Linked DNA regions of Macaca mulatta. The protein of the gene in region 1 binds, or shares a complex with, the protein of each later gene. Links are inferred from orthologs where the notes say so. Each region holds a gene or a part of one and is shown in the gene's direction. Other genes may lie near its edges.

Evidence for each region.
Region 2: ARVCF (region 1) and HNRNPH2 share a complex: the UniProt entries of both Homo sapiens proteins name them as parts of the ribonucleoprotein complex. The link is inferred for Macaca mulatta from reciprocal best matches to the Homo sapiens genes ARVCF and HNRNPH2.
Region 3: ARVCF (region 1) and SRSF1 share a complex: the UniProt entries of both Homo sapiens proteins name them as parts of the ribonucleoprotein complex. The link is inferred for Macaca mulatta from reciprocal best matches to the Homo sapiens genes ARVCF and SRSF1.

The regions. Positions count from the first base shown.
Region 1 is NC_133415.1:32,714,081-32,720,535, forward strand, and holds part of ARVCF (splicing regulator ARVCF), read left to right. Parts: coding exon 1-272; intron 273-1,112; coding exon of another isoform or gene 1,113-1,233; coding exon 1,234-1,733; intron 1,734-2,384; coding exon 2,385-2,568; intron 2,569-3,385; coding exon 3,386-3,503; intron 3,504-3,872; coding exon 3,873-4,044; intron 4,045-4,750; coding exon 4,751-4,768; intron 4,769-5,700; coding exon 5,701-5,772; intron 5,773-6,455. UniProt on the Homo sapiens protein: Contributes to the regulation of alternative splicing of pre-mRNAs.
Region 2 is NC_133426.1:108,300,760-108,307,343, forward strand, and holds the end of HNRNPH2 (heterogeneous nuclear ribonucleoprotein H2), read left to right. Parts: intron 1-2,471; exon of another isoform or gene 2,472-2,492; 5' UTR 2,493-2,545; coding exon 2,546-3,895; 3' UTR 3,896-4,712; downstream 4,713-6,584. UniProt on the Homo sapiens protein: This protein is a component of the heterogeneous nuclear ribonucleoprotein (hnRNP) complexes which provide the substrate for the processing events that pre-mRNAs undergo before becoming functional, translatable mRNAs in the cytoplasm. Binds poly(RG).
Region 3 is NC_133421.1:51,981,223-51,988,397, forward strand, and holds the start of SRSF1 (serine/arginine-rich splicing factor 1), read left to right. Parts: upstream 1-2,338; 5' UTR 2,339-2,541; coding exon 2,542-2,735; intron 2,736-3,143; coding exon 3,144-3,328; intron 3,329-3,695; coding exon 3,696-3,868; intron 3,869-4,051; exon of another isoform or gene 4,052-4,068; coding exon 4,069-4,263; 3' UTR 4,264-4,628; coding exon of another isoform or gene 4,629-4,667; 3' UTR 4,668-5,770; coding exon of another isoform or gene 5,771-5,833; 3' UTR 5,834-5,952; coding exon of another isoform or gene 5,953-6,020; 3' UTR 6,021-7,175. Other genes in the region: uncharacterized protein LOC144335563, read left to right, coding at 5,771-5,833, 5,953-6,020. UniProt on the Homo sapiens protein: Plays a role in preventing exon skipping, ensuring the accuracy of splicing and regulating alternative splicing.

The DNA.
Region 1 (6,455 bases):
GGTGTGCGGCCCCCACGTGCTGGCCCCCTTGGCCCAGGCCCTGGTGATGGCTGCTTCACACTGCCTGGCCACCGGGAGGCCTTCTCAGTGGGTCCTGAGCCTGGGCCACCAGGTGGCCGCTCCCTGCCCGAGCGCTTCCAGGCAGAGCCGTATGGCTTGGAGGATGACACGCGCAGCCTGGCCGCTGATGACGAGGGTGGCCCTGAGCTGGAGCCTGACTATGGCACGGCCACGAGGAGGAGGCCTGAGTGTGGGCGGGGCCTTCACACCAGGTGAGCTGCACCCCGTTCCCTGTGGCTACCTCCTCTGGGAAGTCCACCCTCCACCCAACTACAGAGTGCCCCACTTGTCAAGTGGCTGCAGTTGAGTTAGTCATGTACGTTAGTTTGAATTGGCCTTGGCTCTTGTCAGGGAGAGAAGAAAGGTGGACCCTGGGGTGGTAGGAGTTCGGCTGGACACCATCCTGCAGGCCCAGGGCCTAGGAAAAGCTGGGAAGAGTGCCGACCACCGGCCTTGCTCATCCACACTCTGGGTAACCAGAACCCAGAGCCCTGGCCCTTGTCACAGCCCATGATTCTGTCCCCATTGCCCTCAGTTTCTGCATCTCTGGAGTGGGGACGTGACCACAGCCCGGGTCTGGATTCTGTTGTGTGACCCTGGCCAAGTCACCTGACCACTCCTAGCCTCAGGGCAGTGGGTTTGATGACAGCAACCCACAGGGCTACTGAGAGTTAAGGAGATCTTGTGCCCCAAGGGCCTGGTGGCCTGAACACCCCTCGGGTGGTCCTACTGGGATGGCTTCATGTGGAGAGAGCCATCTACCCCCTCTCCATCCTGACACAGCCAGAGATGGGCCTCATGGAAGATGGGGTGGTTTCGTGGAAGGGAGGTGGGTCTCTCCAGCAGCCCTAGCACATATCGCACAGAAACATGTTTTGCTTGGGATCGGGGAACACTGCCTGGTGACAGCAGTGAGTGAGCTTGCTGTCCTGGGAGGGTTGCCTGGGTCCTGATAGCCTCTGGCTGGGGTTTGGCATTTGGCTATGAATTGGTTCTCACTGGGCTGGTGCATGACTCTCTGTGTCCCCACCATGCTTCGGGCGGAGATGCAGGTGCTCTCAGCCCAGCCCTGCTGGGTGAGTTTGCAGTCCTGAAGAACGTGTCATGGGGCAGCTCAGAGGTGGGGCTGGCGGCTGCTGTGACGATGTCCACGCACCCCACTTGCCTGTGCAGGGCCTACGAGGACGCGGCAGTTGATGGCGGCGAGCTGACAGATGAACGGCCTGCGTTCCCAGCGGTGACGGCGCCCCTGGCCCAGCCTGAACGGGGCAGCCTGGGCAGCCTGGACCGGCTGGTGCGGCGCTCGCCCTCAGTGGATAGCGCCCGCAAGGAGCCGCGCTGGCGGGACCCTGAGCTGCCTGAGGTGCTGGCCATGCTGCGGCACCCCGTGGACCCCGTGAAGGCCAATGCGGCCGCCTACCTGCAACATCTGTGCTTTGAGAACGAGGGTGTCAAGCGGCGTGTACGGCAGCTGCGGGGGCTGCCACTGCTTGTGGCGCTGCTGGACCACCCGCGGGCTGAGGTGCGGCGCCGGGCCTGTGGGGCACTGCGCAACCTCTCCTATGGCCGTGACACTGACAACAAGGCCGCCATCCGGGACTGTGGTGGTGTGCCTGCCCTGGTGCGCCTGCTGCGGGCCGCCCGGGACAACGAGGTCCGCGAGCTTGTCACTGGTGAGTGGGACCTGGCCATGCCCACATCCCCTGGGAAGAGAAGAGTGCGAGGCTCAGCACGGGAGGAACGAGGCCACACGGCCTGCGACCGCCTGGGAGAGTGCCCGGTGGGCAGGAGTGCAGCCACTGAGACGCTTGCCCCAGGAGCCAGTCATCAGGCCCAGATGCTGTGACAGGCTCCCCAGTCTCTACCATAGGCAGGAGGCAGACAGTGGGCCCCTCAGGCATGTCCCCTCACCTCCTGCCCCCACAGAAACTCCCCTGGGACCTGCCTCCTTGGTTCCCACCCCAACAGTGCAGTGGTGGGGCTTGTGCCTTGTGGGACCTGAGGGACAGGTAGGGTCACCTGACCGTGTCTCTGTGAGGCCCTGTGGCCTCAGGAGTGTTAGTGCCACCTGCCGTGTGGCAGGGAATGGGTGGGACGGGACAGTACTGCCACACCCTTCTCTGCACCTCCTCCCCTTTGGGGTTCCTTCCTAGCTGGAAACCAGTACTGGTGTCCCTCAGAACCACTCACGGCTTTTGTTACTTCCTACTGTTCTGTGTGAGCTGGGACATGAGGAGAGTGGGACAGGTCCTGGGCGTGGCCACCTGGGGAGGTAGGCGGGCGGTGCATATGGTCAGCACGGGTTGGCCAATCGCACCCCACAGGCACACTGTGGAACCTGTCGTCATATGAGCCCCTGAAGATGGTCATCATTGACCATGGCCTGCAGACACTGACCCATGAGGTGATCGTGCCCCACTCAGGATGGGAGCGTGAGCCCAACGAGGACTCCAAGCCACGGGATGCTGAGTGGACAACTGTCTTCAAGAATACGTCGGGCTGCCTGAGGTGTGGACCAGGCCTGGTGCTAAAGCCTCAAGCACACCAGGCCCTGTCCTTGTGGTCCCAGATAGTGTGGAAGATGGCAGCAAGCTTAGGAGCACCAGAGCCTGGGAGCTTCAGAGCTGTGGCACAAGTCCTGTGGATGAGAAGTGGGGCCTGATGGGGCTGTACTCACCCCCAAGTGGTGCCCTAGTCTTCCCAGGGGCACCCTCTGGAGGGGTCTGTGTGGTACCATAGCCCTGCTTAGCTCTCACCTACCTTCCCATCACTTGACAGCCAGAGGGGAGCTGGGACCTCCCTGTTCATCTGCCTGGGAGGCTCATACCAGCCACCTGTGACCTCTGCCCTTCCCCTCCTACCCCTGGGAAGCCCTGCTGACTCCACAGAGTCCTGGGTCCCCACAGTCTTGCTTGTCCATCAGGGTGTTCCCCCGCAGCCCTGCAGGCTCTTGACCTTGGGGTAAGGTGGGGCCTAGAGCTGCCATTGGGGTGGCGAGGGACCCAGAATTGCCTATGCATAGGTTCAGGTCTCTCTGAGTCTACCTGTCCCTTTCTAGGTCAGCTGGGAGGCAGGAAAGCCCTGTCTTCCCCTGCCCAGCTATCCCCAGCCAAGACAGCTGTCTGCCAGGGCTCCCCTCCTGAGGCCGGGGGCAGTTCGCTTCTCCCACTTCGCTGAGCTCCAGGCTGTGGCGTCCTTTCCCAATAGTGCTAGGAGGGCAGCAGCAAGGGCCTGTTTTGCAGATGAAGACAAGCCCATGAGGCCAGAGTGGGGCTGGGGAGTTTGTGATAGCCAGGGGTCACCTGACCTGCTCTTGGCCACACAGGAATGTGAGCTCTGATGGTGCTGAGGCCCGGCGGCGACTCCGGGAGTGTGAAGGGCTGGTGGACGCGCTCCTGCATGCCCTGCAGTCGGCAGTGGGCCGGAAGGACACGGACAACAAGGTGGGCAGGGACGGTCACAGCCTCATACCAAGGGCTGGAGAGACGATCATGCAGGTCCCGGGAGGCTGGAACTGTGGGAACAGCACAGGGGAATGGGTTTGTGGGTCTGGGGCGGCGTTCTGGGCATGGCCTGCCTCACAGTGACCACACTGAAGTAGGCACTGTCCTGCAGGCAGAAGATGCTCCATGAGGCAGGGGCTTCCTCCCATGGACCCTCCCTGGTGGTTACCGCCCTTTTGTCCCCCCGACTGAGGCCTCCCTGTCCCTTTGCTCCTGGTGCCTTCATGCACACCACCTGTGGCCAGTCTTTCCTGAGGGCTGGCCCTGTGCCTAGGGTGCCCTGCCCCAGCCACTCACCTCTCCCTGCAGTCGGTGGAGAACTGCGTGTGCATCATGCGGAACCTGTCCTACCACGTGCACAAGGAGGTGCCCGGGGCCGATAGGTACCAGGAGGCCGAGCCCGGGCCCCTGGGCAGTGCTGTAGTCTCCCAGCGCCGGAGGCGGGATGATGCCAGCTGCTTTGGTGGCAAGAAGGCCAAAGGTGGGTGGGGCGGACCGGGGTACCATCTCAACTCCTGCCCCAGCTGAAGGCTCTCTGTACACCCACAGCAGCCCATCATGGAGGCCAGAGGACATCTGCACAGCCCCCAACAGGCAGGCAGGGAAGCTGGGAGCCAAGGAGGCTGGGCTGCCCTGGGTCACATGGTTGACGGGGCCCAGGGTTGGGGGCCCAGGTCCAACCTTCCCCATCTACACTGTGGGACCTGCAGGGAGTACACAAGGGAAGCCTGGTGGTCCTACTGATGCCCAGACCCAGTCTCTATTCCGGGGAGAGTTCCACTCGCCCATGAGTTGAGAAAGAGCCATGGCTATTGCTGCCTGCTGACTGTTTACAGAATAGCTGTAGACTGCGTCCAACCTGTGGGGCAGTCACCCATCTGCCTGGGCAAGATGCCCTGCACACCTTCTCTACCGCACTAGCGGGGTGTAGGTTCCCGGGACCTCCCCAGCAGCTGTGGGCGACCTGTGCACCACCTGCCCCTGCCCCACTGACCCTAGGCCTCCTCCTCGTCCCACTGGTGGGTGCTCAGCACCCAGAAGTGATGGGATGAGGTTCCACATGCTGCTTGCTTGATCCAGGCTGTGCAGTGGGAACCTGAGGCCTCTGGGAGGGCATTGGGGGGGGGTGATGAGTGCTGCCTGCTCAGGCTCCTCTCCTCTCTCCTCTGCTTCCTCCGGCTGCCCAGAGGAGTGGTTCCACCAAGGTGAGTCCCTTTTTATCCTGCTCTCCAGGCCTGGCATGTGCAGTGGGCACCTGGGAAGAGGCAAGCACATTCCAGCCCCAGGGCCCTGCCCCACCCTTGGCTTCATCACTCGGGCTGCCATCTTTATGACAGTGGCAGGTGGGAAGGCCAAGGGGCTCATTTTATAACCTCAGACTTGCCTACCTGGGCAGAGCCGGGCAGAGCCAAGAGTGGGCAGGGCCCGGGGATACTTGTCTCTAGGGGCACCAGGGAGCAGTCTGTTTCTCTGATAGAATGGGGCAGCATGTGGCTCAAAGGGATACAAGGGTCCCGTGAGGGTGAGCAGGGCAGGGACCTCAGGTCATCTGGCTCCACTCTGCTGCCTTGTGAGGGGGTAGAAGTGTCATCTGAGATGGGAGTGTGGCTGAGAGACAGTGGGCTCACTGTCACAAAGGTGTGCAAACCAGGGCTGCACAAATGTTAGGTGGGCTGCTGTGGGGTTTCTCCTGGCTAGTAGATCCTGGGACAATGTCCTGACCCCAGACTGGGGGAGTTTCCCCCTAGTTCTGCCTTACTGTGTGACCCAAGCGAGTCTTGTCCCGGTCAGCCTTCAGTTTCTCGGCTTGTATCCACCTGCCATCCAGCCAGGGCTCCTGGCTTCGTCGGTCTACATACCTGGCAGTTGCAAGGAAGCCACCGGGAGGGTCTGTGGTACAGCTTCCAGCACCTGGTGGGAGATGAGTCCTGGGATGTCCCCAGGCCCCATTGCCACCAACTCCTACCCCTAAACTGCCCAAACTCTGACAGTGGTGCTGCATTCTCACAGGTGCCCAGGCCTGGACATGGGGGTGCCTTTTGGGGCCTGGGTAGGAGAGAACTGTGCCCAACCCTTCTGACACACCCATGCCCCATATGGGGTCTGCGTCACCTCCTACACCACCTTTCCCTTCCAGGAAAGAAGGATGGTGAGATGGACCGGAACTTTGACACGCTAGACCTGCCCAAGCGAACTGAGGCTGCTAAAGGTGAGTGGGCTGAGATGAAGCCAGCTCCGCTGGGGGATGTCTGGGCTCAGGATTGCCCTGGTAGTGGAGCTTTGGGCCATCAAGCAGGCCTGGAGGGCCTCAGGGAACAGATGGGGAAACAGGCCCATAGGTGCAGGATTTCCTGGAGGATTATTCAGCACTGGGACACCTGCTGAGGGTTTAGAATGGGAGGCAGTGCCATGGGTCATGTCAGGCAAGGTTGGGGGAGGAGACAGGCACAGAGAGGCCAGGGGCTTGCTCAGCCTCACGGTGCGTAAGAGGTGGGAAGGTTTGGAGGGACGCCCCCAGTGGAGGTAGGGCCTCCTGTGTTAGCCACAAAGCTGAGTTCACCTCGGGGCTGGGAGCCAGGCGGGCATTCTCACATCCAGGTTCAGAGGCTAGGCCAGACGAACACCTGCAGGGGCAGGGCAGTGCCTATTGGGTTGTGTGCTGGGATCTGGCCTGAGAGAGAGGTCTGCCCTGGTGGGGCCTAACCAGTTGGAAGAGCCTGCATGTCACCAGAGTGGAGGTCCCCAGCTGCAGGAGGGCTATGGGGAAGCATTACAGTTAAAGCAGGGCTGGTGCAGATATCCCAGCAGGGAATGTTTTTGGAGTATGTGGGAGCAGAAAGCCCAGCAGGGCAGGAGTAGAGGGAGCATGGGACGTGGGGACAGGAGGGGGTG
Region 2 (6,584 bases), on another chromosome or scaffold:
AGAATTAAAACTGTATAGAAGTATATAGGGTAAAAAGCGAAAAGCCCACTTCACTCCCCCTACCCTTCAGTTCTCTCAAAAACAAGTTTGCTTCCAGATCTTCTTTTATTTATTTACATACGTATATACATGCATGCTAATCTTTTACTATAAGTAGGATCATACTATGTATGTTCTTTCATTTAGTGTATTTTGGAGATCTTTCTGGGTCAAGGCAGATAGATTTTTTTTTAAATGGCTGCATTGCATTCCATTTTAAGGATAAGGTATAATTCATTCAGCCATTCCTCTAATGATGGCTATTTAGCTTTCCAATGTTCTGCCTTTACTAACAGTGCTGCAAGGAACATTCCTAAGTATTTCTGTTGACTAGATTCCTGGAAGGATTCTAGCAGTGTCAAAGGGTATGGGAATATGTATTTTGTACATAGTTGAGATTGTAAAGCAGCTGTGCTCTTGGGTCACTTATAATTATAGCATAAGTAATTTCTCATGTTATTAAATATTTTTGTAACTTTTAAAATTAAATGCATAATATTCCAGTTTTCTTAATAAAGTACTTTTCAAAGAATATATAGCTCCATAAATCTTTGTCTGAATTTCAGATCATCTCCTTAGGGCACATAACTGAAATGTATTTGCTGTCAAAAGGCGTGATACATATTATCAAATTGCTTTCAGGATATAGTGGGATTTATCAAAAAGGAAATAGTTTATATCAATTACCACTCCTCTAGTAGTGTATTATTAGTTTGTGAACTCTGCATAGCACTGATTTACTGTCACCGTTTAATTTCCATAATCTTGATGGGTGAAAAATAATGATTAGTTCTGGTTTTAACTTACTGGAAGATTGATTAAATTTGAACATTTCCCAGATTGCTCTCCTGTATCCTCCTATACCTGTATTCTCTCATACTTAATCTGTTATCAAGTCCCGCAGATTCCACTTTTTTTGGTATGTGTAGATATAGCTTTTCTCCATTTTACTCCTGTTGCCTTAGGCGATTCCTTTAACGTATATTTAAGAGACAAGTTCTAACTAATCTCCCTAGTTCCACCTCTGAGTACCACACTGTTGCCGGGGTGATCTGTCTGAAAGAGTTTTGGTGAAGTCACCCCACAAACTCCCCGGTTTAAAAGTCTTAAAAGGTGCTTAGTGTATATAGTGTGTATATACTTCTATACAGTTTTAATTCTTTAAATTTGCTGCACTGGGATTTTTTTAAGTTAGAATGAACATATTAGTGGTTACTCTGAGTGGTAGGTTTATGGATTTTCCATGTTATTTTTCCAGTTTTTTTATGCAGTCTTAACTAAGCACTGCATAAAAGTCTTTGGGATCTGATCTATGCCTTGCCAGCCTTTTCTCTTGCTTTTCCCTCTCCTATTTGTGCTTTATCATAATTTTAAAAAATCGTTTATGGATCCCTGGGCAGGTTAGTCTGTTTCATTTAACCATTTGACCTCCAACCAATAGAACTGATCAACTAGTCCCTCCTTGATACTATGCTTATACCCCACCCAGAGGGTCATGGCAAGTATAATGTATATTTGCATTTACATCTTTAATAATGATATTTGGTGCTCCTGTAGGATCATAAGCCCTTTCTGGGCTTATTGATTCTTGTATGCCAGAGCTGAGTATTGGACATGGCAACTAAAAAATATTTCTAAAATGAATGTGTGAATTCCCAATAATGTCTTTTTTTCATTTATCTCTGAAGCCCAAATATTTCCCTGATTTTATTGATTTGCATACATTTGTATATAAGGAGATTATATAAAGAACGTATATAACCTGTGTTTTGTTTGTGTTTTAATGTTTTAATTGTTGTTTAATCTTTTGATCTAGTGAAGTTTTTTATGTGTGTATATTCAGATATAGCTATCTTTTATTTGTTGACCTATCCCACTGATTTGTTGATGTTATTTTATTTATTTATTTATTTTTTGAGACTTAGTTTCGCTCTGGTGGCCCATGCTGGAGTGCAGTGGCGTGATCTCGGCTCACCTCCACCTCCTGGGTACATAAAAGTGGTTTTCCTGCCTCAGCCTCCCAAGTAGCTGGGATTACAGGCGCCTGCCACCACGCCCAGCCAATTTTTTGTATTTTTAGTAGAGACAGGGTTTCACCATGTTGGCCAGGCTGGTCTCTGACCTCTAGGTGGTACACCCGCCTGACCTCAGGTGGTACTACTGACCTCAGGTGGTACACCCGCCTCAGCCTCCCAAAGTGCTGGGATTACAGGCGTGAGCCACCACACCCGGCCGATTGCTATTAATTTTTAATGGTATCCAACATGTAATAGGCATTGAATAAATAACTTAAAAAATGAATGAGTTAAAAATTTGGTGAACTCTTTGTTTATACAGACATCTTACAGAAAAGCTGTCAGCATAGTTGAATTTTCTATTAATAGTTTGCTTTTTTATCTTACTATATCACGGGCATTTTTCCATGACAGTAGTCTTCTAATTTTTTTTTTCAGCTACACTAAAATTGCATTGAGCCAAACTTGCCACCAAGAGCCCAACAGTCACCATGATGCTGAGCACGGAAGGCAGGGAGGGGTTCGTGGTGAAGGTCAGGGGCCTACCCTGGTCCTGCTCAGCCGATGAAGTGATGCGCTTCTTCTCTGATTGCAAGATCCAAAATGGCACATCAGGTATTCGTTTCATCTACACCAGAGAAGGCAGACCAAGTGGTGAAGCATTTGTTGAACTTGAATCTGAAGAGGAAGTGAAATTGGCTTTGAAGAAGGACAGAGAAACCATGGGACACAGATACGTTGAAGTATTCAAGTCTAACAGTGTTGAAATGGATTGGGTGTTGAAGCATACAGGTCCGAATAGCCCTGATACTGCCAACGATGGCTTCGTCCGGCTTAGAGGACTCCCATTTGGCTGTAGCAAGGAAGAGATTGTTCAGTTCTTTTCAGGGTTGGAAATTGTGCCAAATGGGATGACACTGCCAGTGGACTTTCAGGGGCGAAGCACAGGGGAAGCCTTTGTGCAGTTTGCTTCGCAGGAGATAGCTGAGAAGGCCTTAAAGAAACACAAGGAAAGAATAGGGCACAGGTACATTGAGATCTTCAAGAGTAGCCGAGCTGAAGTTCGAACCCACTATGATCCCCCTCGAAAGCTCATGGCTATGCAGCGGCCAGGTCCCTATGATAGGCCGGGGGCTGGCAGAGGGTATAATAGCATTGGCAGAGGAGCTGGGTTTGAAAGGATGAGGCGTGGTGCCTACGGTGGAGGGTATGGAGGCTATGATGACTATGGTGGCTATAATGATGGATATGGCTTTGGGTCTGATAGATTTGGAAGAGACCTCAATTACTGTTTTTCAGGAATGTCTGATCATAGATATGGAGATGGTGGGTCCAGTTTCCAGAGCACCACAGGGCACTGTGTACACATGAGGGGGTTACCTTACAGAGCCACTGAGAATGATATTTATAATTTCTTCTCACCTCTTAATCCCATGAGAGTACATATTGAAATTGGACCCGATGGCAGAGTTACTGGTGAGGCAGATGTTGAATTTGCTACTCATGAAGATGCTGTGGCAGCTATGGCAAAAGACAAAGCTAATATGCAACATAGATATGTGGAGCTCTTCTTAAATTCTACTGCAGGAACAAGTGGGGGTGCTTACGATCACAGCTATGTAGAACTTTTTTTGAATTCTACAGCAGGGGCAAGTGGTGGGGCTTATGGTAGCCAAATGATGGGAGGGATGGGCTTATCCAACCAGTCTAGTTATGGAGGTCCTGCTAGCCAGCAGCTGAGTGGTGGTTATGGAGGTGGTTATGGTGGTCAGAGCAGTATGAGTGGATATGACCAAGTTCTGCAGGAAAATTCCAGTGACTATCAGTCAAACCTTGCTTAGGTAGAGAAGGAGCACCAAACAGCTACTCCATATATAAAAGCTGTACATTTGTGGGAGTTGAATAGAATGGGAGGGATGTCTAGTATATCCAGTATGATTGGTAAATGGGAAATATAATTGATTCTGATCACTCTTGGTCAGCTTCTCTTTCTTTATCTTTCTTTCTCCTTTTTTAAGAAAACAAGAGTTAAGTTTAACAGTTTTGCATTACAGGCTTGTGATTCATGCTTACTGTAAAGTGGAAGTTGAGATTATTTTAAAACTTCAAGCTCAGTAATTTTGAACACTGAAACATTCATCTAGGACATAATAACAAAGTTCAGTATTGACCATAACTGTTAAAACAATTTTTAGCTTTCCTCAAGTTAGTTATGTTGTAGGAGTGTACCTAAGCAGTAAGCGTATTTAGGTTAATGCAGTTTCACTTATGTTAAATGTTGCTCTTATACCACAAATACATTGAAAACTTCGGATGCATGTTGAGAAACATGCTTTTCTGTAAAACTCAAATATAGGAGCTGTGTCTACGATTCAAAGTGAAAACATTTGGCATGTTTGTTAATTCTAGCTTTTTGGTTTAATATCCTGTAAGGCACGTGAGTGTACACTTTTTTTTTTTTTTTTTTTTTTTTTTTGAAGGATACGGGACAATTTTAAGATGTAATACCAATACTTTAGAAGTTTGGTCGTGTTGTTTGTATGAAATTCTGAGGCTTTGGTTTAAATCTTTCCTTGTATTGTGATTTCCATTTAGATGTATTGTACTAAGTGAAACTTGTTAAATAAATCTTCCTTTTAAAAACTGGAAAAAATCTTGTGCTGATTGATTTTTATTATGTTCTGTCATATGGGCACGCTGATTGACTTTATAATTCCCTCAAAATTAAAATTTTTAATTTTAAAATTATAAACAATATATTTAGCATCTTTATATGTTCATTGTTGCATATATCATTAATTATTTCTAAGATATATCCCTAGAAATGGGATTGCTGAGTCAAAGATACACTCATTTTTAAGGCTTCTGATTTGTGTTACCAGCAAGATTCTGGTACTTTATCTTTTTACCTGGAGTGTGTGCTTTATTTTCCCCCTTATGCCCTCCTTATTGATGCACATTATTCTTTGTGATCTTTGCCAGTCTGTTAGTTGAGAAATGATATCTCATTGCAATTTTAATTTGTATTTTTTTGATTAATATTAAAGTTGAACATTTTCTTCTTTTTTAAAAAAACTTACCATGTCTACAGGACTATTGAGCTACTTTTGGAGCCACTTACCAAGATAGTATTCTCTAAAATCCAAAGAAGTGAAAGCGAATAAATAATCCTTTGTATTTCATCACAAACTAGAAGGCACCTTTGTATGTTAAAAAAGAAGTAGGCTTACAATTATGTGTCAAAAACAAAACATAAAAAAGAAGCAGGCTTATGTTAAGGAAATAAATTGTCTCCTCCATGAATTCATTAGGAGATTCTCTAAACACTCTCAGGTGTATTTTAGGGCATCTAAAGCTTATCTTAAACCAGCGTTCTCAAACTTTTCATGTGCATCAGAATCATCTGCAGGGGTTGTTTAAACATTCATTTCTAGGCCCCATCCCTAGAGTTTACAGTTCAGTAGTTTTGGGATGTTGCTTGAGAATGTGCTGATACTGCTGGTCTCAAGACCATGTTTTGAGACCCATCACAGTTCCCCAAACAACTTTAAGGAGCAGCTTCCTTTATGATCCCTGATCGCCTCCCCTTTGTTCCCATAACAAGTAGTTTAAGTTTTCTATTAAAGTCCAAACCACATGTTTACAATACCTTGCACCTCTCATGAGGATTCTGAGCACCTGTGGCATTGTGTGCTGATGTCTTAGATTTTTGTCTGGATCACAGTGGTCATTAACAATTCCACCCCTCAATGACTTTAAGACCCCAATGTCCCTCTGATCAGTACCAACTGTATCTTGAACTACAGATCTCTTTGTAGTTTCACTGACCCCTTGGGAACTGTATTGCTATACTTGGGCTGTTCAGAGCTTGGGACCCAGAGAAATGAGATGGGAGGCAAATACCAAGTTGGTATTACCTGACTCCATTTCATTCAGGAAATGAAAATCAATTCTGGAAAATCATTCAAGCTGAAGATGCAGTGGGACGTGATTGAAATTCTTTGATGACTTCTAATTTTTATCACAGCTTTCAGGAGAGCAAGAAACCCATTTTGACTCCTATCATGTTGAGCCAGTCCTTGTCCAGGAAGCCTTTCTCAGAGGGTAAACAAGTAGGTGTTTTTGCCTTCCCAGGCTACTTAGTTAATTTTCCAGAAGTTTCTCTAAGTCTGAGCAAAGATTCTCAAGTTAGCCACTAGATGGCACCAAATCCCAGGAGACAATGGAGGGCTCCTTGTGATCTTAAATGTTCACTTACTCTTCTTCGCTGGATAAGAAAATTCAGAAGGGCTCTGGGGAGCAAAGGAGAGAACCTGGAGAAGGTCAGTGGTCAGCACTAGAGGTTCCAAAGGGACAGCAGTATAGCTGGTGTGCACACGCATGCACACACACCACCACACGTGCTCCAACACTCACATCTAACACTACTACCCAGGAAAGTGCCGGGAGGTAGAGTGGGCAGCCCACCCACAACACCCCCCAAACACTGAGTCAGAGGATTTATTTTCAACTGCGTGTGTGAGCTATTTG
Region 3 (7,175 bases), on another chromosome or scaffold:
CAGAAGTTCTTTTCCCTTTTGGGATCTATGGACTCCTTTAAGAAGTTGATTAAAATTTCAAATCCTCTTCCCAGAAAAAAGTACGCACATGCATATAATTTTGTACATGCATACATGCATATAATTTTGGAAAACATTACAGAAAGCTCAAGGATTACCAAAGGTCATCTGTGGATATACTGAGGATCTTCAGGCACAAGACCAAGCATCCCTGCTCATTTCAAATTGAGTATGTATTTTGGGGTCACCGAGAGACATTTGTAAAATACATTTCATCAGCTTTTAGAATTAAGAAAACATGTCCTTCTCCTGAATGACCTATTTATTTTTATCCCAAAGGCACTTTGGATTTTGAATACACAATACTGGTGTACCCTTCTTTACCGCGACTTCTGCGAAGACTAAAGTAAAATTTGCAGTCTATCTCAACAAATTCAACAGGCTTTCACTGCAGGCATTTTGTATAGTAATTTATGCTTATTTCATTTAATCCACCCCTTATTTTCCCATTCCTCTAGTTTTTTTTTGTGTGTGTGTGAGATGGAGTCTTGTTCTGTCGCCCAGGCTGGAGTGCAGTGGCATGATCTCCGCTCACTACAGCCTCCACCTCCTAAGGGTTCAAGAGATTGTCCTGTCTCACCCTTCCGAGTAGCTGGGATTACAGGCATGGGCCACCATGCCCGGCTAATGTTTTGTATTTTTAGAAGAGACGGGTTTCGACATGTTGGTCTCAAACTCCTTACCTCAGGTGATCCGCCCGCCTCGGCCTCCCAAAGTGCTGAGATTACAGGAGTGAGCCACCACGCCCAGCCTCATCTACTTTTAATAATGTTTTATGGTATCTCTGTAAATTGCCTCACATCCTTGCGGAGAGGGACTGCTGTAAATAACATGAAGAACATTATCCCTGAAATTCACGGTGTAGATCTGTTATCGCAAATTTATGACTGCAGGATTTGATTTTGTTGTTGTTTCCCCCTCCTTTTTTTTTTTTTTTTTTTTTTTTTTTTTTTAGGAGGAGTCTTACTCTGTAGCCCAGGCTGCAGCGCAATGGCGCGATCTCGGCTCACTGCAACCTCCACCTCCAGGGTTCTAGCGATTCTCCTGCCTCAGCCTCCCGAGTAGGCTGGATTACAGGCGCCCGCCACCAAGCCCGGCTAATTTTTTTTTTTTCAGTAGAGACGGGATTTCACCATGTTGGCCAGGCTGGTCTCGAACTCCTGACCTCAAGTGATCTGCCGCCTCTACCTCCCAAAGTGCTGGCGTGAGCCACCGCGCCCAGCCTAATTTTAATTTGAATTCATTAGCGACGTTTAAAAATCCCAGGATTTCACATAAAAATCCAGATTGCAGACGTCGAAAAAAAATGTAAAATGTTATCTCCCAATGTCGCAGGCAAATAAGATCACAGTCCTGAATAGCAACCGCGGTCTCTAGTGGACACGGCTCTCATCCATTTCGGTCCATTTTATTACCTGGGAGGACCGGTATTTTCAATTTCAGTAACTTTTAGAGGAAACTTTTGAAAAAAGGACTGCACACACGCACCTTTTCTTCCTTCTCGTTCTTTAAAAGGAAACAACAGAAACAATTCATTCTGCAGGCAATCTGCGCTAGTCCCACGGATAGGCGATTAACAAGAGATAAAGAGGTGTGGGTACCAGAAGCAGTACTGTTACCCCTTCTGGTTGGCGGGTACCACGTTGAAAGGTCGGGGTACGGGCCCACTGCGACTAGCACAAAGAGTGCTGAACTGAGCTATGCAAAGTTCTGACGAGAAGGTGGAATGGTTCTTAATGAAAAGGATTAAGGAATCTAAACCGGTTTCGCTAAATTAGACACATCTGTCTAAGCAGCCACAGCTTGTTCGCAGCAGGGGCGGGAAGACAAACCAACGCCCCAGCTCTCTATTCAGTCACCGGCAACTCAGCTCTGGACTAGACGCACTCTACGAAGATACCCGGGTTTCCGGAGCAACGGCCCGAGCCCTCCCCCTTTAGCCCCGCCTCCGAGTCTCTTTCCCGCCAAAGGCCGTTATCGCCGCAGAGCATGGTGGGACAAGGCTTTAGGCTAGGTTTCACCAAGTCCTTTGAAGGCGCCGAGTTGCTTTCAAAGCTCCTCATTCCTGGGGAAATTGACTATCCTTCAAGACTCGACCTGGATGACTAGCTCCTTTAACGAGAGTTCTTTATTTAACTTTTACCAAACGGCTGCTCACTCTATTCGCAAACCACCCCAAGCGGGGAACGCGGGGGACTTTTTTTCCCCCTTCGTGCGGAGGGTGACGTCGCGCGTGCGTGCGCGTGCGTTGCGCGTATCCCTCGCAGCACCCGTTGCGCTCCCGCGCGTGCGTGTTGGGATCGAATCGCTGTTTCCTTCCGCTTCTCTTCCTCTGTCTCCCCCCCATATCCGTGCGCCGAGCTGATAAAGGCGCCATTTTGGAGGGGCCGCGGGAGACGTGGTGCCGCTGCGGGCTCGCTCTGCGGTGCGCTAGGCTTGGTGGGAAGGCCTGTTCTCGAGTCCGCGCTTTTCGTCACCGCCATGTCGGGAGGTGGTGTGATTCGTGGCCCCGCAGGGAACAACGATTGCCGCATCTACGTGGGTAACTTACCTCCAGACATCCGAACCAAGGACATTGAGGACGTGTTCTACAAATACGGCGCTATCCGCGACATCGACCTCAAGAATCGCCGCGGGGGACCGCCCTTCGCCTTCGTTGAGTTCGAGGACCCGCGGTGAGGCGGCATGGGGCTTGCAGCCTTGAGGAAATAGGTCCGAGTAGTCGGGGAAGGCTCCAAGGCCTTAACATAGAGAACGGGGAAGCGGGGGCTCTTAGAGAGGTTGGGGCGAGACTGTATCGCCCATGCAGGAGTCGAGTAAGGAGCTGAGTTGGTGTGGCTTCTCTGGCGCCTCGCCTTGGACGTCCCCGGAGCCCATTCGCAGGCTGGAGCGGGAAACTGAGGCGCTGAGGGCTGGTGTAGTGGTTGGGAGCCTGGCGTGTTTCTGGGTGGGGGAGGGGCCATTCCTATTATGCGGCGCATGTGGGCTCTTCCACGTTGGGTGCGCATGTGCGGGGGGTTCCCGACTGAGCGAGCTTCTCCTCCTGGTCTTTCTCATGCCTTTTACTTTCTGCGATCCCGCAGAGACGCGGAAGACGCGGTGTATGGTCGCGACGGCTATGATTACGATGGGTACCGTCTGCGGGTGGAGTTTCCTCGAAGCGGCCGTGGAACAGGCCGAGGCGGCGGCGGGGGTGGAGGTGGCGGAGCTCCCCGAGGTCGCTATGGCCCCCCATCCAGGCGGTCTGAAAACAGAGTGGTTGTCTCTGGTGAGTGTACTTGGTTGTGTGGATTGATGTGAAGGGACGGAAGCTACCTAAAATTTTTGTCTTGCATGATCGGTTTAACAATTGCAAATTTTTCATGCTAGGTCTTAAATTGCTTTAGTTTTTGGGTGAATTTAATAAACGAGGATTGCTGCTGTGGTGATTTACCAAATTAGGTTGCGGTACTAGATACGAAGATCCGTTACAAATAATTTTGGACTCTGGATCCCAGAATCTTACCAGCTCTTTACCTGGTATCACTTAAGTACACCTATTAAGTATTTTAAAGTACTCTTTGTTCTAATGTACCTTACCAGCTTAACGTGAAATTTAAGATAATTGATACTAAGAAAAAAAATCACTTTTTCAGGACTGCCTCCAAGTGGAAGTTGGCAGGATTTAAAGGATCACATGCGTGAAGCAGGTGATGTATGTTATGCTGATGTTTACCGAGATGGCACTGGTGTCGTGGAGTTTGTACGGAAAGAAGATATGACCTATGCAGTTCGAAAACTGGATAACACTAAGTTTAGATCTCATGAGGTAGGTTATACGCTTATTCTTTTCTTTGACCAGAATTGGATACAGTGGTCTTAACAGTGGAATTTGAAGGTAAGAATTCAGGCAAGGGTGTCCAAGTAAATTGCCAGATTTCTGGTTGTAGTTGCATTGTATGCATTCAGCATGCCTGAAGATAGATGAAAGCTTAGATCTTTCAATGGAAAGTTCTGTCTATCCAATAGGGAGAAACTGCCTACATCCGGGTTAAAGTTGATGGGCCCAGAAGTCCAAGTTATGGAAGATCTCGATCTCGAAGCCGTAGTCGTAGCAGAAGCCGTAGCAGAAGCAACAGCAGGAGTCGCAGTTACTCCCCAAGGAGAAGCAGAGGATCACCACGCTATTCTCCCCGTCATAGCAGATCTCGCTCTCGTACATAAGATGATTGGTGACACTTTTTGTAGAACCCATGTTGTATACAGTTTTCCTTTATTCAGTACAATCTTTTCATTTTTTAATTCAAACTGTTTTGTTCAGAATGGGCTAAAGTGTTGAATTGCATTCTTGTAATATCCCCTTGCTCCTAACATCTACATTCCCCTCGTGTCTTCGATAAATTGTATTTTAAGTGATGTCATAGACAGGATTGTTTAAATTTAGTTAACTCCATACTCTTCAGACTGTGATATTGTGTAAATGTCTATTCTGCCCTGGTTTGTGTGAACTGGGATGTTGGGGGTGTTTGTGGTTATCTTACCTGGGGAAGTTCTTATGTTTATCTTGCTTTTCATGTGTCTTTCTGTAGACATATCTGAAGAGATGGATTAAGAATGCTTTGGATTAAGGATTGTGGAGCACATTTCAATCATTTTAGGATTGTCAAAAGGAGGATTGAGGAGGATCAGATCAATAATGGAGGCAATGGTATGACTCCAAGTGCTATTGTCACAGATGAAATTGGCAGTATTGACCTTATACTAAAAGGCAGGGGTTAAAAATGATTATATACGTTTTCCTTAAAACACTTGCAAACATTTTATTCAGTTATCTTTAGCTACAATTGCTTTGCTCTTTAAACCTTGGCAATTGTGGCAAAATTATATTGCCCATTTTGTAGCAACTTATTTTGCTCCCTTCCCCCCATTTTTGTTTTAATAGGGACTAATGTGGGAAGAACTGGCTAATTTGTCACAGTGCTTAGTTACAACTGTTAATGTGTGACCTGCTGTTGGTGTACATGTGGGTACAGGGTGTCTTTAAATCCAACAAGATAGAGTATAATATCAATACTGCTAAATCTGCATGTCCTCTGTGTGACTGATAGAGCGTTGCTATTTCATTTTTTTAAGACAAAATGAAAGCAAAATATAGAGTTCCAATGTATTGGTGTAGATAATCTAGTTGGGAATACTTTTAAGTCTCACCTTCCCCTTTAAACTAATATTCATAATTGATTCATATGTTTAAAAGACTTTAATTTACAAATTAAATTGCAAATGGGAGCATTAGATATAGTTTTAGACTTAGGTGGGTAGCAATGCCAGTAAACTTAAATTACGTAACTTCTTGCAACCACGAAACCTGTAATACGCTGTACAGTAACAAGTGTTGGCATTATCAGTTGAACTGTAAATACAAAATGCTTCTTCCAATTAGTCTCTATGATGATTAAGTTTCTAAAATTTATCTGAACACCATTCAGAAACTTGTTTTGGGGAATTTGATAGTTATTGATGTGCATCTGTTAAACTGATGACAGACATAACTCATCATTCCCCAGAAACCTTTTTTGATTACAGTATCTAACATTTTGCCTCCTCTTTTTTGGTTTTGCTGGTTATAAAGGTTTGGATTGGAGAGGGCTCACTGGATCCCAATCCTTGGAGCTGGATCATTGGATTCAAATCATAATGTGGATAGGATAGGGAGGATGAATTACCAGGATTCATGGAGCGGGATCAGATTACCAGGAACATAGGAGTGGATTCCTGCCCCAACCAAACCGCATTCGTGTGGATTTTTTTATTCAACTTAATTGGCTATTCCAAAGATTTTTTTTTTTCCTATTTTTGACGATTGGAGCCCTTAAGATGCACGATGGAATTGTGTTTTGCGTTTTTTGGTAAAAGGAGCAAAGCGAGGACCTGGAGATAAACGCTGGAGCAATCTCCTTGGAAGGATTCAGCACGAGTAGATGGTAAACATTTAAAGGGGAAAGGGGGGGTTTGTTTAAAATAGTAAATCAGTAAGTCACTTCTAAATTTAAAGAAAACAAAATTGGAGTTGAAGAATAAGTAGGTTTCCAATTGGCTATTGCCGTTTTTCTTTGAAAAAATAAACATTTTTTAAAAAACTATGCATGGTTGTCCTTTTTCCTCTTCATGTAAGATTCTAACTGGGTCTATCAGTTAATCTTTAAATTGTTAAGTAAGATAAGATTTTGACTCTTGTATTAATGTGTTAGCAAATTAAAAGTTCTTAAAAGGCACTATAATGGTATTAGCCATCTTTTATTGTTAATTGTAAAAGTCTTCAGGGGAAGGCAAAAGGGGAGAATAAGGCATTTGTGTATGTAACTTGGTAAATGACGGTGGGGGGTTGGATCTAGCATCTGAAAGATAAGCTTCTCTACTTTGTTATAAATTGGTTAAAAAACTGTAGATGCTGCTTATTTTCTGGTGGTCATAGACAACATAGGCTTTTGTGCAAAGTTGGTTGATGGCTAGTAAATTAATGTTCACTTGGAGATAGCTTTTGATATTTTCAATGAAACCCATCTCAAAAAAAGGTAAGTATTAAATGTTAACATCAGCACAGAGGTATTAGAACTGTTTTTTGTTTTTGAGACAGAGTCTCGCTTTATTCCCCAGACTGGAGTGCAGTGGTGTAATCTGGGCTTACTGCAACCTCCACCTCCTGGATTCGAGTGATTCTCGTGCCTCAGTCTCCCGAGTAGCTGGGATTACAAGTGTGTGCCACACTTGCCTGGCTAATTTTGTATTTTTAGTAGAGGTGCAGTTTCTTTGTGTTACCCAGGCTGGTCCCAAAACTCCTGGCCTCAAGTGATCTGCCTGCCTTGGCCTCCCAAAGTGTTAGGATTACAGGTGTGAGCCACCATGCTCGGCCTGTAGAACTTTTAACACAAGTCACATTTCTTTTTTGAAAGGGAAAGTGTGTACAAGATTAACTGCTTCTTTGGATGAATCGTTGCTAATAAAAAGCTGGGCATTTAGAATTTTGCCTTATAAGCCCTTCTCAACCATAAGATTATTTTGTACCTAAAACTTTGGTGTTCTCTACCAAAGCAGTCGTTAAAAACTTGTAGTCTGCTACTTTTTGTATTTGTCTACTG